Macaca fascicularis: one gene and its partners. The protein of the gene in region 1 interacts with the protein of each later gene in a pairwise test. Links are inferred from orthologs where the notes say so. Each region holds a gene or a part of one and is shown in the gene's direction. Other genes may lie near its edges.

What was found. The genes of interacting proteins can lie anywhere in the genome.
Region 2: the proteins of MKRN3 (region 1) and SFN interact in binary tests that used the Homo sapiens proteins (3 or more experiments, as listed by UniProt). The two-hybrid records come from large-scale screens. The link is inferred for Macaca fascicularis from reciprocal best matches to the Homo sapiens genes MKRN3 and SFN.
Region 3: the proteins of MKRN3 (region 1) and protein BEX2 interact in binary tests that used the Homo sapiens proteins (3 or more experiments, as listed by UniProt). The two-hybrid records come from large-scale screens. The link is inferred for Macaca fascicularis from reciprocal best matches to the Homo sapiens genes MKRN3 and BEX2.

Annotation. Positions count from the first base shown.
Region 1 is NC_088381.1:5,417,641-5,423,329, reverse strand, and holds the start of MKRN3 (E3 ubiquitin-protein ligase makorin-3), read left to right. Parts: upstream 1-2,110; 5' UTR 2,111-2,219; coding exon 2,220-3,421; coding exon of another isoform or gene 3,422-3,743; exon of another isoform or gene 3,744-4,001; coding exon of another isoform or gene 4,002-4,023; exon of another isoform or gene 4,024-5,689. UniProt on the Homo sapiens protein: E3 ubiquitin ligase catalyzing the covalent attachment of ubiquitin moieties onto substrate proteins.
Region 2 is NC_088375.1:208,246,706-208,251,604, reverse strand, and holds SFN (14-3-3 protein sigma), read left to right. Parts: upstream 1-2,151; 5' UTR 2,152-2,215; coding exon 2,216-2,962; 3' UTR 2,963-3,446; downstream 3,447-4,899. UniProt on the Homo sapiens protein: Adapter protein implicated in the regulation of a large spectrum of both general and specialized signaling pathways. Binds to a large number of partners, usually by recognition of a phosphoserine or phosphothreonine motif.
Region 3 is NC_088395.1:109,687,505-109,692,735, reverse strand, and holds protein BEX2, read left to right. Parts: upstream 1-2,119; 5' UTR 2,120-2,526; coding exon 2,527-2,541; intron 2,542-2,690; coding exon 2,691-2,769; intron 2,770-3,143; coding exon 3,144-3,535; 3' UTR 3,536-3,778; downstream 3,779-5,231. UniProt on the Homo sapiens protein: Regulator of mitochondrial apoptosis and G1 cell cycle in breast cancer.

The DNA of each region.
Region 1 (5,689 bases):
GCATGCAAAATATAAAACTCGGTAACTATCAAAAGGAGAAAAAGACAAATCCAACATTTCCTACATTCACGACGAATAATCAGCACCATTTTCAAATAATTATCAAATTAGAAAAAGACAACCTTTTAAAAACATTGAGCCTTTTATTTAGGTCTTCTGAAGCTAAAATGCTTTTCATTTTATTGTACAGCCTGAATTAGTTTAATTCCTAGGTTAGTTAACTTTTAATGTTGTTATGAATGTTATTAATTTTAAATGTTTACTTCAAATGTTATTGATAAATAAAAATGATTTTCGTATATTGCACTCCTGTCCAGTGTCTTTGCTAAATGCACCTATTAAAGCTAATAGCTTATCTGTAAATTATTCTTAATTTTCTGTTGCATTCCATCAATAATTTATTTCCAGTTATAACATCTTTTATTTCTTTGCTATTACACTAGCTAGGACTTGCAATAATAAATACAGATTTTTTTGCCTTTAGATTTATTTCAGAGGGAAAGTTTTAGAAACCTTTTAGATAATTATCTAAATTACAGATGTAACAGATCCATATTCACATTTATTTCTGCTCCTGTCATTTTTACTAATAGATGTTTCCAGCAATATGACTATTTCATGTAAATTTTCAAGTTTAATGTCCTAATTTTGTTCCTGATATTCTCTAATGATTTTTAATGCCTGTTATTAATGTAGTGATAACATATTTGAAATTACTGATGTTGGTTATTACAGCCTTCTTCATTTTTCCTTGATAAGTTTCACCAGAAATTATCTGGCTTCAATAAGCTGTTTAAAGGATTTTACTTAATTTATTTCCCTTATTTAATATTTGTTTTTCTTCATTGCTTTTCTTGGCCTTATTATTTGCTTCATTCTGCTTTCTTTGCTTTTACCTACCTAATTATAATTTAATTTGTTGACTTGGGTGATTATAAATATTCAGATATGTTTCCACTTTACAGATTTAGGCAACAAAATTTCCTCAAAGAAACTTACAGAAAAAAAAAAATCCAATAATATATAAAACGATATATCATGACACAGAAGGGCTTCTTATTAGAAACAAATTGGTCAGTTAAATATTTGAAACTCATAGCTGCAAATAATCACATTAAGAGAATAAAGGGAAAAACAAGATTATCTCAAAAAATATATAAAACTACATGACAGAATTCAGTATGCAGTCATGATACGTACTCTCAGCAAAGTAGGAATACAAAAAAATGATTAATCCACTACACGTATCTGCAAAAATGACAAAACGCTTATATATGGAAATTAAAGACCATTCCTTTGTGGATAGTATGCCACAACACAGCACAGATGGGGTTGAAAGAAAGCAAGAGAAACAAAGGGCTGCCATGAATTAAACCAGTAGAGAAAATAAAAGCCTGGGTCATGCAGGGGACAGTGCCTTATTCAGCCAGCATCAGGAATGATTGAAGTCTGGGGCTTCTACACAGTGGGAAAACGAGCATAGTAATCACAATAAAGAAAGACATCTGAAAGGTGCTAACTTAGCCTCGGATCAGAAGCGCTGTCTGCTAATGCCTTGCTGGTGAAAAGCGTATCCTGCGTAAGCCCTCAGAAATCCCAGAAAACAAAGACCAAAAGAAACGACGCTTTGTCAACAGAGCAAATCGAAAAAATCTTCCAGCAGTGACAGGGCATTAAAAAAAAAAAAACGCAGACATAAGATGGAGTGAATCAAAAAAGGATTTATCTAATTCATGTATGAAATGTTTCAGAATCTATTGGATTCTAATTTTTTTAAAGCAGACAGATACGAAAATACAACGAAGACGTGCATGACTGAAACCAAAAGAGATTAAAGTAAAACCTCATTCTCCTGAGGAAACGGTGTGAGGAGGGAATTAGGGGCTGCCGGAACACAGCGAAGCAGAGGCAGAAGGCAGACAAAAGGGGCTGGGTTGGTCCCTGCCTGTGTGAACAAAAAATATGTCAGATTGGAAAATTGCGGTAAAATCCAAGCGCGGCGCGTACGTTGCCCCCACAGGAAGTGTCCGCCGCGCTGCCTGTGCCCGGAAGTAGGTAGGAACACACAGTCACAGGCAGCCAAGAACCGGGGGGGAAGAAAAAGAGATGCACACTTCCCCTAGAGAAGCCTCCGAGCGCGGCCGCGACTCCGGGCCTCAAGCCCATAAAGAAAAAATACCGGAGACGTTCTGGCACCATTTCGGGGTAAAGAAGCTGCCATGGAAGAGCCTGCAGCTCCCTCAGAAGCCCAGGAGGCAGCCGGGGCCCAGGCAGGTGCTGAGGCAGCAGGGGAGGGTGTGTCTGGGCCGGACCTTCCCGTCTGTGAGCCCTCCAGGGAATCTGCTGCTCCAGATTCGGCCCTGCCACATGCGCCTGTGGGCTGGGCCCCCTTCCCTGTAGCTCCAGTCCCTGCCCACCTCCGCACAGGAGGCCTGAGGCCTGCACCAGCCTCAGGAGGAGGAGCATGGCGCAATCCGTTTCCAAGCCGAAGCAGCGGCATTTGGACAAAGCAGATCATCTGCAGGTATTATATACATGGGCAGTGCAAGGAGGGGGAGAACTGTCGCTATTCCCACGACCTTTCTGGTCGGAAGATGGCCACTGAGGGCAGCGTTTCGCCGCCTGGGGCCTCTGCAGGTGGAGGCCCTAGCACGGCTGCGCACATCGAGCCCCCGACTCAGGAAGTGGCGGAAGCCCCCCCGGCTGCATCCTCCCTTTCCTTGCCTGTGATTGGCTCGGCTGCTGAAAGGGGTTTCTTTGAAGCCGAGAGAGACAATGCAGACCGTGGAGCTGCTGGAGGAGCAGGTGTAGAAAGCTGGGCGGATGCCATTGAGTTTGTTCCAGGGCAGCCCTACCGGGGCCGCTGGGTTGCATCTGCCCCCGAGGCTCCTCCACAGAGCTCAGAGACTGAGAGGAATCAGATGGCTGTGGGCAGGGGGTTGCGGTTTTGCTATTATGCTTCCAGGGGAGTTTGCTTTCGTGGGGAGAGCTGTATGTTCCTCCATGGAGACATATGCGACATGTGTGGGCTGCAGGCCTTGCACCCCATGGATGCTGCCCAGAGGGAAGACCATATAAGGGCCTGCATTGAAGCACACGAGAAAGATATGGAACTCTCGTTTGCTGTGCAGCGTGGTATGGACAAGGTGTGTGGCATCTGCATGGAGGTTGTCTATGAGAAAGCCAACCCCAATGACCGCCGCTTTGGCATTCTTTCCAATTGCAACCATACCTTCTGTATTAGGTGTATCCGCAGGTGGAGAAGTGCCAGACAGTTTGATAACAGGATCATCAAGTCTTGCCCGCAGTGCAGGGTCACCTCCGACTTGGTCGTTCCCAGTGAGTTCTGGGTGGAGGAGGAGGAAGAGAAGCAGAAACTTATTCAGCAATACAAGGAGGCAATGAGCAACAAGGCCTGCAGGTATTTTGCGGAAGGCAGGGGTAACTGCCCATTTGGAGACACATGCTTTTACAAGCATGAATACCCTGAGGGCTGGGGAGATGAGCCTCCTGGGCCAGGTGGTGGGTCATTCGGCGCATACTGGCATCAACTTGTGGAGCCTGTGCGAATGGGAGAGGGCGACATGCTCTATAAAAGCCGTAAGAAGGAGCTTGTCGTGCTTCGACTGGCCAGTCTGTTGTTTAAGCGGTTTCTTTTACTGAGAGATGAGTTACCCTTCTCTGAGGACCAGTGGGACTTGCTTCATTATGAGCTGGAAGAATATTTCAATTTGAATCTGTAGCATTGTGCTGTGGCATGTGGTCTAGTCTGCTGAGGTTCTGTCGTCTGCTATTGCCTGTTTTCCCTGTGTTGACACTCTTATTGCTTTCAGGGGCTGTTGAGGCAGTGCTTCTGTTTTCTTGTCTATTCTGCATATCTTTCCTCCTAGGATTATGGTGATTATCTGTGTTTAAAAAAATAAGTCCTTAAAGTTACTGTTTTGGTGAAATTAATATTAATGTCAGCTTATGGCTTTTTTTGTCATCTCTGTTTTCAACAGGATTAACTCAGTTCTAGTGTAGTGTTTACTGAATTTCCACACTTATTTTGAAGACCCTCAAGAGTAAATGTGGCAGAGTGAAAGGAGAAGTTTTAATTGAACTAGTAGCTTTGTGCTATAATAGCCTTAACAAATGGACCCTCGCAGGGTCTTGCAGCTGCTCATCTGTTTACAGTTTGTTCTTTCCCTCCTTCCCCTTCAAGTGCACTTGTTAAACTGTGATGAACTTGTGATTTTGTGTTTTACTTGACCAAAACCAAGTGTATATGTTTACATGTTTTTATCCTGTTTAGCTTGACATGAAATAATTTATATTTGGAAATATATATTTAAGAATGATATATATATAATATATATGTATAAGAGCTATGTATTTGAAAATATATATAAAAGAATATACATCACAATATTTATGTTTATGTAATAAAGTAAATACAGAGCCGAAAGCTGAAGGTCAAAGCCTAACAGGATTGGCTGTTGTGTGGATGTGAGTTGTGTGAATAATCATTCTGTCCCTTGCACAGAAGCCAGTAATTAGCATCTAATGAAAAGGACTGTTCAAGTGGGTCTGGCCAAATGTAACAGATGCAGATCTTAGAGGACTTACAAAGCACTATATTGGTAATTCTTACAATGGCATTAATAGCTCACTCTATAAAAACAGAAATTGTGTTCCTACGCAGTTTTGCCACCTTCTCAATAATTCTTTGTAACAGCAAATCCTAGGCTCAGAGGCACAGTGCTTTGTATTTGATATACAAAGTCTCTAGACTTTCCCAACAAGGGGCTTTAGACAAAAGATTTCAACATAAAAGTAACAAGATTATAAAAGGGAAAATAGAACAAAAATACTAAAACCAGTGAGAATAAAATAATGGAAAGATAATAAAATATAGAAAGCACTAAAAACTAAGTGTAAGAGTAATATAGAAAATTTACATACAACTTAGATTAAATGAAAGCAGTTTAAAGACTGAAAGTCAAAGGCTATAAGACTTCATTACAATCAAAATGAAACATCCTATTTAAAATACACACAACATAAAAATACAGAAGCATTCAAAGTAGTAAGATGGGAAAAAAAACCAAACAGGTGCTGTGACTGTCTTGATTGTAGACAATGTTTATGGTAAGGATAAACACTTTGCTGGAGATAAAAAGGAATGATACATAAACATTAAATTGTAATTCACAGGAATATATAACTGTTCAAATTTTGTATACATTTAATAACGTTGTATCAGATACACAACTGATAAAAATAGAAAATCCTAACTCCAGACTCTTAGTGGACAATTTTAATACACCTTTTTAGTGACCAAACAAGCAAAGAAAAAATGAATGTGAAAGATAATTATGCCATTTTAATGACTTACCTGCATAACTTATGATCTGCATCAACTGCAAATGCACTTACCTTGGCTGAAGTAGCTGAAAAATATGCTAGGAGTGTGAATCTTGAGTCCCAGGTTATTCACACTGTCCTGACTGTCCAACAAATATGGCACATTTAAGAGTTTTTATACCATGTAATTTGCATGCAAAAGGATGAATTTGTCAGAACTACCTAATGTGGTACTTGCTATAATTTTTCTCATTATCCTGATGAGGTAAATAATAGAGAATTTAAAGGTTTTGCCCATAGAGTTTATGACCCATAGCTGTGAATTAGTGGAACAAAGACTGGA
Region 2 (4,899 bases), on another chromosome or scaffold:
AAAAAATACAAAAATTAGCTGGGCGTTGTGGTGAGCACCTGTAGTCCCAGCTTCTTAGGAGGCTGAGGCAGGAGGATCACCTGAGGCCAAGGAAGTTGAGAGTGCAGTGAGCTGTGATCATACCACTGTACTTCAGCCTGGACAACAGAGTGAGACCCTATCCCAAAAAAAGAAAATAGAAAAGAAAATCAAGGGGAAGCAAAATCAGTCAGTCTCACTACCTCAAGATACCCTCTATAAGCTGGTATTTTCGTGTGGTTCCTATCGTTTTCTACGTCAGTTCTCTGAATTGAGCAAAATCTCTGGGCTGTCAAACCTGAAATCCCCTTTACTTCCTTGGAAACCCTGTAGCATTAGTCCAGACATGTCCCTACTCCTCCTTGTGGCAAAAGAGAAGAATCTCATCTTTGGTCCCCAGAGTTCTGGCCTAAGCCTCCCTCTAGGAGGGAAGATGAGTGTTCAGACACTCAGGGTACCTGGGGGAGACACAGGCCTGTGAAATTATCCTAGCTCAACTATTAGGCGGGCAGAATCCCAGTGAAAGGAGCCGTACCCGAGGCCCATCTAAGCTTTGGCTAGGGGTGGGGCAGATAAGCAGGAATCCATCCCTGTAGGCTCAATGCCAACACCCTTTGGTGAAACTCCTGATGAAACTTGAGGCCAGGGCCCCAGCAAGCAGGGAAAGAAGGTTGGCAACAGAGGTCTCCATCTGAGGACTCTGCCAGGGGTCAGAGGTGGGGTAATGGTCAAAAGGAAGGAAGTGGCTCATGCCCATAATCCCAGCAGTTTGGGAGGCTGAGGCAGGAGAATTGCTTGAGCCCAGGAGTTTGAGACCTGCCTGGGCAATGTAGTGAGATCCTGTCTCTATTTAAAAAAAAAAAAAAGGAAGGAACAGGGAAACTTCTGAGAGACAGGCTGGGGGAGTAGCTGGGATTGCTGCCCCATAAAACAGAATGGTATGTGTCACTGCCACCTCCCTTTCTCAGTCCTCTCTCTCCCCAGGTTGCTAGCGTCCCCCCTGGGGGATCAAACTGGACTGCTTCCCAGCCTCAGACAGAGAGCAGTCTGAGTCAGGCAGGAAAGTGGGACAGCCGGGGAGCTGGACCCCACCCTCTGTGAACCCCACTGGTACCTGATGGCATGTGGCTTGGAGAGGGCAAGTGACCTGGTGTGGAGGGCCAGAGGGTAAATCCTCAAACAAGTGGCAACAGGCCACCAACTTGAAAGGGAAAATTGTGTAGTGATGGGAAATGTGTCCAACAAACCTACTGGGTGACTAATTACAAAGGCTGGGCTGGAGCGTCAGAGGCTGCTTGTTAAACACTTCATTAAGTGGCACTCTGAAAGCTGCCACCTGCGCATTCTGGGAGCTCAGAGGGGACCCTGAGGGGGAGTGAGGCCTGAGGGATGGAACCATCTTCAGGTAGATTGAGAAAGAGCCTGGATCTCACTTCCAAACACAGCCTGGAGCTCATAGGTCAGAGACTTCAACGGGAGAAAAGCTAAAGGAAGCAGGGTGCAGAAAGGAGTTTCAGGGAAGTGGTGGCTATGTGACTTTGAGCAAATCTCACCCCTCTCTGAGACTTAGTGTTCCCATCTCTGTGGTCCTGTGTGTGTCACAGAGACACAGTGGGGATTAAATTCGATGGTGAATATGAAAGTGCTTGGGAAACTCTATGGCCCTACCTAAACATAAGTTATCCTCACCTGAATCAAGGGGAGAAGTTACCTGGCAGGATTGGGAACCCCATCCTCCTGAACCTTTATGGGCTCTGTCGAGGCAGAAGCAGCCAGGGGCTAAAGCCGCCCTTAGCCTCTGTAAGGACGCTGTGAAGGAGGATCTGATTTGAGAAGCCAGGCAGTTTCCTGATGTGAGCAGCCATATGATGCCAGCCCCGAACAAGAGGGGGCAGCCTAGAGCCTGGAAAGGTGCCTGTGCAGGTGGGGCCCACGCCCAGATTTCTTCTGCTGACTGTTCTGATGACTCACCCCCACATCCCAGCCTTTTTACCTTGACTGCAGAGCCGGAAAGGGTGTGGGGAGGAGAGGAGAGGGAGGCAGGTCTTGGGCCCTGGTCCCGCCCCCTGCTCCTCCCCACCCTTCTCTGGGCCTGGCCACCCAGCCAAAAGGCAGGCCAAGAGCAGGAGAGGCACAGAGTCCGGCATTGGTCCCAGGCAGCAGTTAGCCCGCCGCCCGCCTGTGTGTCCCCAGAGCCATGGAGAGAGCCAGTCTGATCCAGAAGGCCAAGCTGGCAGAGCAGGCCGAACGTTATGAGGACATGGCAGCCTTCATGAAGGGCGCCGTGGAGAAAGGTGAGGAGCTCTCCTGCGAAGAGCGAAACCTGCTCTCAGTAGCCTACAAGAATGTGGTGGGCGGCCAGAGGGCTGCCTGGAGGGTCCTGTCCAGTATTGAGCAGAAAAGCAATGAGGAGGGCTCGGAGGAGAAGGGCCCCGAGGTGCGTGAGTACCGGGAGAAGGTGGAGACTGAGCTCCGGGGCGTGTGCGACACCGTGCTGGGCCTGCTGGACAGCCATCTCATCAAGGAGGCTGGGGACGCGGAGAGCAGGGTCTTCTACCTGAAGATGAAGGGCGACTACTACCGCTACTTGGCCGAGGTGGCCACTGGTGACGACAAGAAGCGCATCATCGACTCAGCCCGGTCAGCCTACCAGGAGGCCATGGACATCAGCAAGAAGGAGATGCCGCCCACCAATCCCATCCGCCTGGGCCTGGCCCTGAACTTTTCCGTCTTCCACTACGAGATCGCCAACAGCCCCGAGGAGGCCATCTCGCTGGCCAAGACCACTTTCGATGAGGCCATGGCTGATCTGCACACCCTCAGCGAGGACTCCTACAAAGACAGCACCCTCATCATGCAGCTGCTGCGAGACAACCTGACGCTGTGGACGGCCGACAACGCCGGGGAAGAGGGGGGCGAGGCTCCCCAGGAGCCCCAGAGCTGAGTGTTGCCCACCACCGCCCCACCCTGCCCTGCCCCCTTCAGTCCCCCACCCTGCCGAGAGGACTAATATGGGGTGGGAGGCCCCACCCTTCTCCCCCAGGCGCTGTTCTTACTCCAAACGGCTCCGTGGAGAGGGACTGGCAGAGCTGAGGCCACCTGGGGCTGGGGATCCCACTCTTCTTGCAGCTGTTGAGCGCACCTAACCACTGGTCATGACCCCAGCCCTGCTCTCCGCACCGCTTCCTCCCGACCCCAGGACCAGGCTACTTCTCCCCTCCCTCTTGCCTCACTCCTGCCCCTGCTGCCTCTGGTCGTAGGAATTGAGGAATGTCCCGCCTTGTGGCTGAGAACTGGACAGTGGCAGGGGCCGGAGATGGGTGTGTGTGTGTGTGCGCGCGCGCGCCAGTGCAAGACCGACATTGAAGGAAAGCATGTCTGCTGGGTGTGACCATGTTTCCTCTCAATAAAGTTCCCCTGTGACACTCCTCCTGTCTCTTTCCAGTTCTTGGCGATGGGTTGGGAGTGGAACTGGAATCTGATTTAGAGATCCTGACTTTCGACCTCTGAGTTAGGGCCCTGACCTCCCTGGGTGGCTCAGTGACCTGCACGCAAGACTTTGAGTCCAGGTGAGGCCGGGGTCCGGCTGTCTCCATCAGGGCGGCCCCAGTCAAACTGGATGGGACCGGGAGGGTCAGGTGAACCCACAGGAGGCGCCGAGCCTCCTCTGCAGGGCCGAGGGGAGGTGAGTGGGAGCCGCAGCGCGGGAGGCTGACGAGCTCAGGTGGAGCGGGACAGGAAATAGTGAAGTCTCCGGCATGAGATCTAAGGACAGCGCTGCAGTAGTGAGCGGCACTGAGCACCCGATTTACAGGCGGGTCACAGTCTCATCAAGGGCTCAGATCTCAGCGGAGGGAAGTACGATTTGAGGCAGGGGTGCAGTGCCGCCATAAAAGCCCAGATCTTAGGAGAGGGTCACGTCCCAAAGAGTTCGGAAATGGAGACAAAAGGAAACGGGCTGGTGGGGAGGAAGGACGAGCTGGGTGGGAATGGCCGCTGGGAGCATTGCCTGCCGAGCCAGCCGCCTCCGCTCTCTGCAGCCAGCAACACGCCGGAACCTGCGGCCGCATTGCTCGGTCTCGCCTTCACAGCCAGGACTGGAGGCGGGGCCCGAGGCTCTGCCACCCAATCACAGGAGGGAGCTGCCCCAGGGTACCACCCCGGGGGACCCGACGAGCCAATGGGAAACTGAGCGGCGGACCGCGCGCGGCGAGTTTCCCGCCGCCCGCCAGGCCTGGCGGACGCCACAACTAGCTGACTGACTGAGCGGCGCCCCCGCCGCCTGCTGAGCGCCGAGGGGCGGCGCTTTCCCGGTTTCACTCAGACAAGTTGTCACCCGTCTGGCCCGAGAGCTGGGAACCCTCTAGAGCAGCGGGACGAGGCAGGATAGCAAAATGCAGTGCCCGCCCGTTGAGTCATCAGCTCACCCAGCTGGGCCTGGGCCGGGCTGGCGGCGGGGTCGGCTGGAAAAAGGCCGCCAAGATGCCCCCACCACACTCCGGAGTCCAGGCAGCCCTGGACCTGTCGCCGAGAGGCTTGGATTGTGTCCCTGGCTGGCTGGCTGTGCGACCTTGGAAAAGCCGTTGTACATCCCTGGGCCTCAGTTTCCCTCTTGTATCATAAGGGACTTGGACTAAAGGCTAACACAAGAGTGAACATTTGCGGTTTTGGCCTGGCGCAGTGGCTCACGCCTGTAATCCCAGCACTTTGGGAGGCCGAGGTGGGCGGATCACGAGGTCAGGAGATCGAGACCATCCAGGCTAAAACAGTGAAACCCCGTCTCTACTAAAAATACAAAAAATTAGCCGGGCGTGGTGGCGGGCGCCTGTAGTCCCAGCTACTCGGGAGGCTGAGACAGAAGAATGGCGTGAACCCGGGAGG
Region 3 (5,231 bases), on another chromosome or scaffold:
TTTTGAGACAGTCTCACTCTGTCGCCCAGGCTGGAGTGCAGTGGCGCAATCTCGGCTCACTGCAACCTCTGCCGCCCGGGTTCAAGCGATTCTCCTGCCTCAGCCTCCCAAATAACTGGGACTACAGCCGCCTGCCATTGCGCCCGGCTAATTTTCGCATTTTTAGTAGAGATGGGATTTCACCGTGTTAGCCAGGGTGGTCTGGATCTCCTGACCTCGTGATCCGCCCGCCTTGGCCTCCCAAAGTGCTGGGATTACAGGCGTGAGCCACTGCACCCCGCCCACCTCTTCGTATTTTCATACACATGGTTGAAGTCTGCTCATCAACAGAAAGTGAGCTGTTGAGATTTCCATATGGATTGCACTAAATTTATAGATGAATTTGGGTATAATTGACATCCTTAAAATATTGAGTGTTTCCATTCATGATCATGGTAATACCTATACTTAGTTATTCTTTAATGTTCTTGAAACTATTTTATAATTTTCAGTGTAGAGGTCTTGAAAGTATTTAATTAGATTTATTCCTAGATATTTGATTTTTAGCAAAACTTATTGGGCTATAATTTACATACAATAAGATACACACCTTTTAACTATATAGTTCAATGATTTCAACAAATGTATTTATCAATGGAGTCACTACCTCATTAAGATACAGAATGTTTTCCTCAGCTGAGAGAGTTCCATTATGCCTCTTTGCAATCAGAAAAACCCCAACTTTCAAGCCAGGCAAAAACTGATTTGATTCAACTTATATCAGTACAGATTAGTTTTGCCTGTTTTAGAACTTATATAAATGCAATCATGCAGAAAACAATTGTGGCTGGTGTCTTTATAGATACAATTTTTTTTTTCATTTTTTTAAGATTCATCTATGTTACTGTTTGTATCAGTAGCTTGTCACTTTTTTATTGCTTAGCAGCTTTAAAATGTATGAATACATCACAATTTGTTTATCAGTTCACTTGTTGGACATTTAGATTTTTATCAACTTTGGGGCTATCATAAAGGAAATTTCTATGAACTTTCCTATGCCAATATTTTTGAGAAAATATGTTTTAAAATCTGTTGGGAAAATTCCAAAAAGTGGAATTTCTAGGACATATGGTAAGCCTAAGTTTAACTTTTTAAGAAACTGCCACCAAGTCTTGGAGTGGTTGAACCCCTCACCAACAATCAATGAGAGTTTCTATTGTTACTATTTTCAAAAGTGCTTGGGACTGTCAGACATTTTAAGTTCAGCAATTATAATGGGTGTGCAGTGGTTTTTCATTCTGGCTTTATTTTACATTTCCCTGATAGTTAATGAGGTTGAGCATCTTTTCATGAGCTCGTTGGTAATTTGTGTATGTAGTTTTGTGAAATGTTTATTCAAATCTATTATTTGCCTTCTTGAGTTTTCGAAGTTCTTTATATATGCTCTGAATTCAAACCCACTGTCAGATACACATATTGTGAATATTTACTCCCAGCTTCTCACTTCATTTTCTTAACCATGTGGTTTAAATGGTAGTTTTTAATTTTGATAAATCCAATTTCTCATTTTTTTTTTTGTGATCTGTTCTTTTTCTGTCCTAAGGGATTGTTTTCTCAAAGATTATAAAGTTTTTCTCTATGTTTTATTCTAGAAGTTTTCTAATTTGAGTTTTTACATTTAGGTTTATGACCATTTTGAATTAATTTGTGTATAGTATAGATAAAAGGCAAGGCTCCTGTTTTTCCTTTAAGAATTCTGTTATTTCAGCACCATTTGTTTAAAAGACTATACTTTCCATATCGAATTACTTTGACATCTTTGTCAAAAATTAATTAACAGGCAGAAGGAGGTGAATCCTGGGAGCCAAGGGCAGAGAGAGGCAAGTCCCCAGAGAAGTGGGAATGGCCAACAGCTCCCTGAGAAGATGCCTTCCGTCCTTCCTGGGCAGGCAAGGGAAGTCTCAAGAATACACAAGAGAAGGGAGAGTGGCAGAGCCCAGGCTGGGGATGTTAAAAGGGACTCACGGTGAGGATGGGGGCGGGCCCGAAAGTCCCACCTGACTCCAGGCTGCAGGAGGGAGCGTGGGACGGGGGCGGAGCCGCTGGCGATGACAACAGCCCCACGTGATCGGCCAACACTGAGTCTTGCCTCGCTCTGGCGTCGGAGCCGCCGTCGCTCGCTCCTTTCTCGGCTGTGGTACCTGTTCCCGGTGGCCCTGAGGACGTGCGGGCCAGGTGCGGCCCCGAAAGCAGGAAGCGGAGGGGGAGCAGGTAAGGGAGACGGAGGGGGTCCCTGGGGTTGGTGTGGGGGAGCGGCCCCGGCCTGCGGATGCCCCACCCCCGAGGAGCCGCGCTGAGACGCAGCCGGTGCACGATGCAGCCCCGGGGCCCCGCCGCGGGACCGCTAGCCTTTAGTGAGCGGAGGAGTGCCTGGCCCCGCGGGAGCCGGCGGTCCTGAGGCTGCGGTCCTGAGGCTACGGCCCTTCTGAAGCACCTGCCTCCGCCACCAGCGCAATCTTTTCTGAGATCCCTGCTCCGCCCTTCTTGATGCAGAAAATGGTGGTCAGCTTGGGGGGCGGGGCGGCTGAGGCGCGGGGAGAGGGCGGCGAGGAGGGCCCGGGCCCGGCGCGGGGAAGGGGCCGGGTGGCGGCGGGTCCTCGCTAGTGTTCCGCTGCAGCAGCCTCCACTCTTCCCACCCCGGCCGTCTGCAGGTCTGCGAGGCTAAGTGTCGAGGCGACGCACCTCACGTCGAGAATCGGGAGGAGGAGGAGACTGCAAGGATAGGCCCAGGTCGGTGCGAGGGACGGTGGCGGGGCGGGGGTCAGAACATGACGAAAGCCCAGTCTGGGACCCCAGTCGGTGCCTTCACTGCTACGCTTCGCAATCCCCCACCCCCACCCCTTCTTCGTCCTCCATTTTGGCGCCTGCAGAGGCCTGGAGATGGATCTGCAGAGAAGATGGTGGGCTTTGCGGGAGAGAGGGGCGCGGACTGCCCCCCCCCACCCCGAGGGTACACGGGGCCTCTCTGATGGGAAAAAAAATGAAATTTAAAAAAGGCCTTTGAAATCCAGGGCTCTGAATTTTGAAAGGTGGGTAGTCGGGCCTCTGTCCTCGGTGCTGATCAGTTCACCAAGAATTGAGTCCGTTTTCTCTCTGTCTCATAGGAGTAATGGAGTCCAAAGAGGAACGAGCGTTAAACAATCTCAACGTGGAAAATGTCAACCAGGAAAATGATGAAAAAGATGAAAAGGAGCAAGTTGCTAATAAAGGGGAGCCCTTGGCCCTCCCTTTGAATGTTGATGAATACTGTGTGCCTAGAGGAAATCGTAGGCGGTTCCGTGTTAGGCAGCCCACCCTGCAGTATAGATGGGACATAATGCATAGGCTTGGAGAGCCACAGGCAAGGATGAGAGAGGAGAATATGGAAAGGATTGGGGAGGAGGTGAGACAGCTGATGGAAAAGCTGAGGGAAAAACAGTTGAGTCATAGTCTGCGGGCAGTCAGCACTGACCCCCCTCACCATGACCATCACGATGAGTTTTGCCTTATGCCCTGAATCCTGATGGTTTCCCTGAAGTTAATAGGGAGACCCCAGCTTCCTAAACTTACACATTTGTGGTGTACCTTTGTCGTAAACCTTTTGATGTTACCTATTTCTTGTGGGTCTCCTATTACCAGCTTCAAACTGAATGTTGTTTTGACCCAGTTTGTAAGTTTCTGTCAGCAGGGGAGTTTTACCTACTGCATGGAAAGATGCTCATTATATATTGTGAAGTTAATAAAACAGTTTTAAAAACCATTCTCTGCATTCTTTTTTACTTTAAATCTTAAATATGAACATAAACAGTCATATATGTACACATATATACACATATATAGAAAATCGTGTTTATCTTTGTGGTAGAATTAAGAGGGAGTTTATTCTTGCGTATCCATAATTTCTTATTTTTTAAAATGGAACACGTATTACTTATAAAAAGCAATGTGACCACCTTATAAAAGCAATGTGAGCACTTAATAAACACTTGTGACAGAATCTCAATTTTAACTTGCTTCTGGGATCTCTTTTTAGAAATGTTTGAGAGACACATCTCTTTGAAGATCATAATATTTATCAGTAAGATGAAGACAATCACCTCCCAGGCTTATTGTATGGACCAGAAAAGGTAATGAGGTTGTAAGCTTTCTCCCAAGTTCTTGTTCTTACTGACATGCATGACCCAACCCTTTAGATATTCCCTTCTGTTATTAGAGGAAATCTCCAAGGTGAGGTCTTCCCTATATTCACAAGTCCAGTGGGCTAAGGAGTAGGTACTTTCATTCCTCTGCTGCTGTGCTCTATTCTCATCATCTCCCCTGGGTATTACTCTGTTTTCTAGGTTTTGCTCCCTACACTGGCTCCTTCCACTGCAGATGTTCAGGAATCCTCAAAGTGAGAAAGTCCCACCAATTTCTCTGGAATTTCCAGTGGATTGAATCCTTGCTCTACTCTACAAAAGAGTGAACAAATCCCCTCTCCCTGCTTTGTTTCATGGAAAAACATTGTCTAGTTCTTTCCTTACAGGTAGTTCTGTCCCAGGAAACCTCCTCCTCAGTATAGCAGACTATGTAAGATGTGTGAGGAAGCACAGCCCACTTTCAATCTGAGATAGTCCCACCTCATACCAGCTCACATTCACCTGAAATCCATGAATGTACAGAATTTTGTTATCTATATGGAGTTGGACATCGGGAAATCACTTAGTGAATCAATGGATACACAAATGAGATCTTTATGAGAAGTCTATGGGAAGACAATTGGGGTTAAGTGTCCCAGCAGAACTAGGGAAATAAAATCCCCGTCAATTTGTGCTAATTAGATGAAATACACACATTTTATGTATGAGGACAGTCTCATAAACTTAAAGTCAGGATTCCAGAACAGGAGTTGGCAAATAACCCAAATCTGGCCCACTGCCTATTATTTGGCTTATAAGAATGATGTTTACATTTTTAAAGGTTGAAAAACTTGAGGATATTACACCAAAACTATGAAATTCAAGTTTTGGTGTCCATAAATTTTTATTGGAACAATGGCCTGCTTATTCATTTACATGTTATCTATGGCTATTTTTGTACTACAGTGGCAAAGTTGAGTAGTTGTGAAAGAGATAGTATAGCTAGCTTACAATGACTACATATTTTTTATCTGGTCCTAACAGAAAAAGTTTGCCACTCCTGTTCTAGAATATAACATTGCAATGGAACTTGTG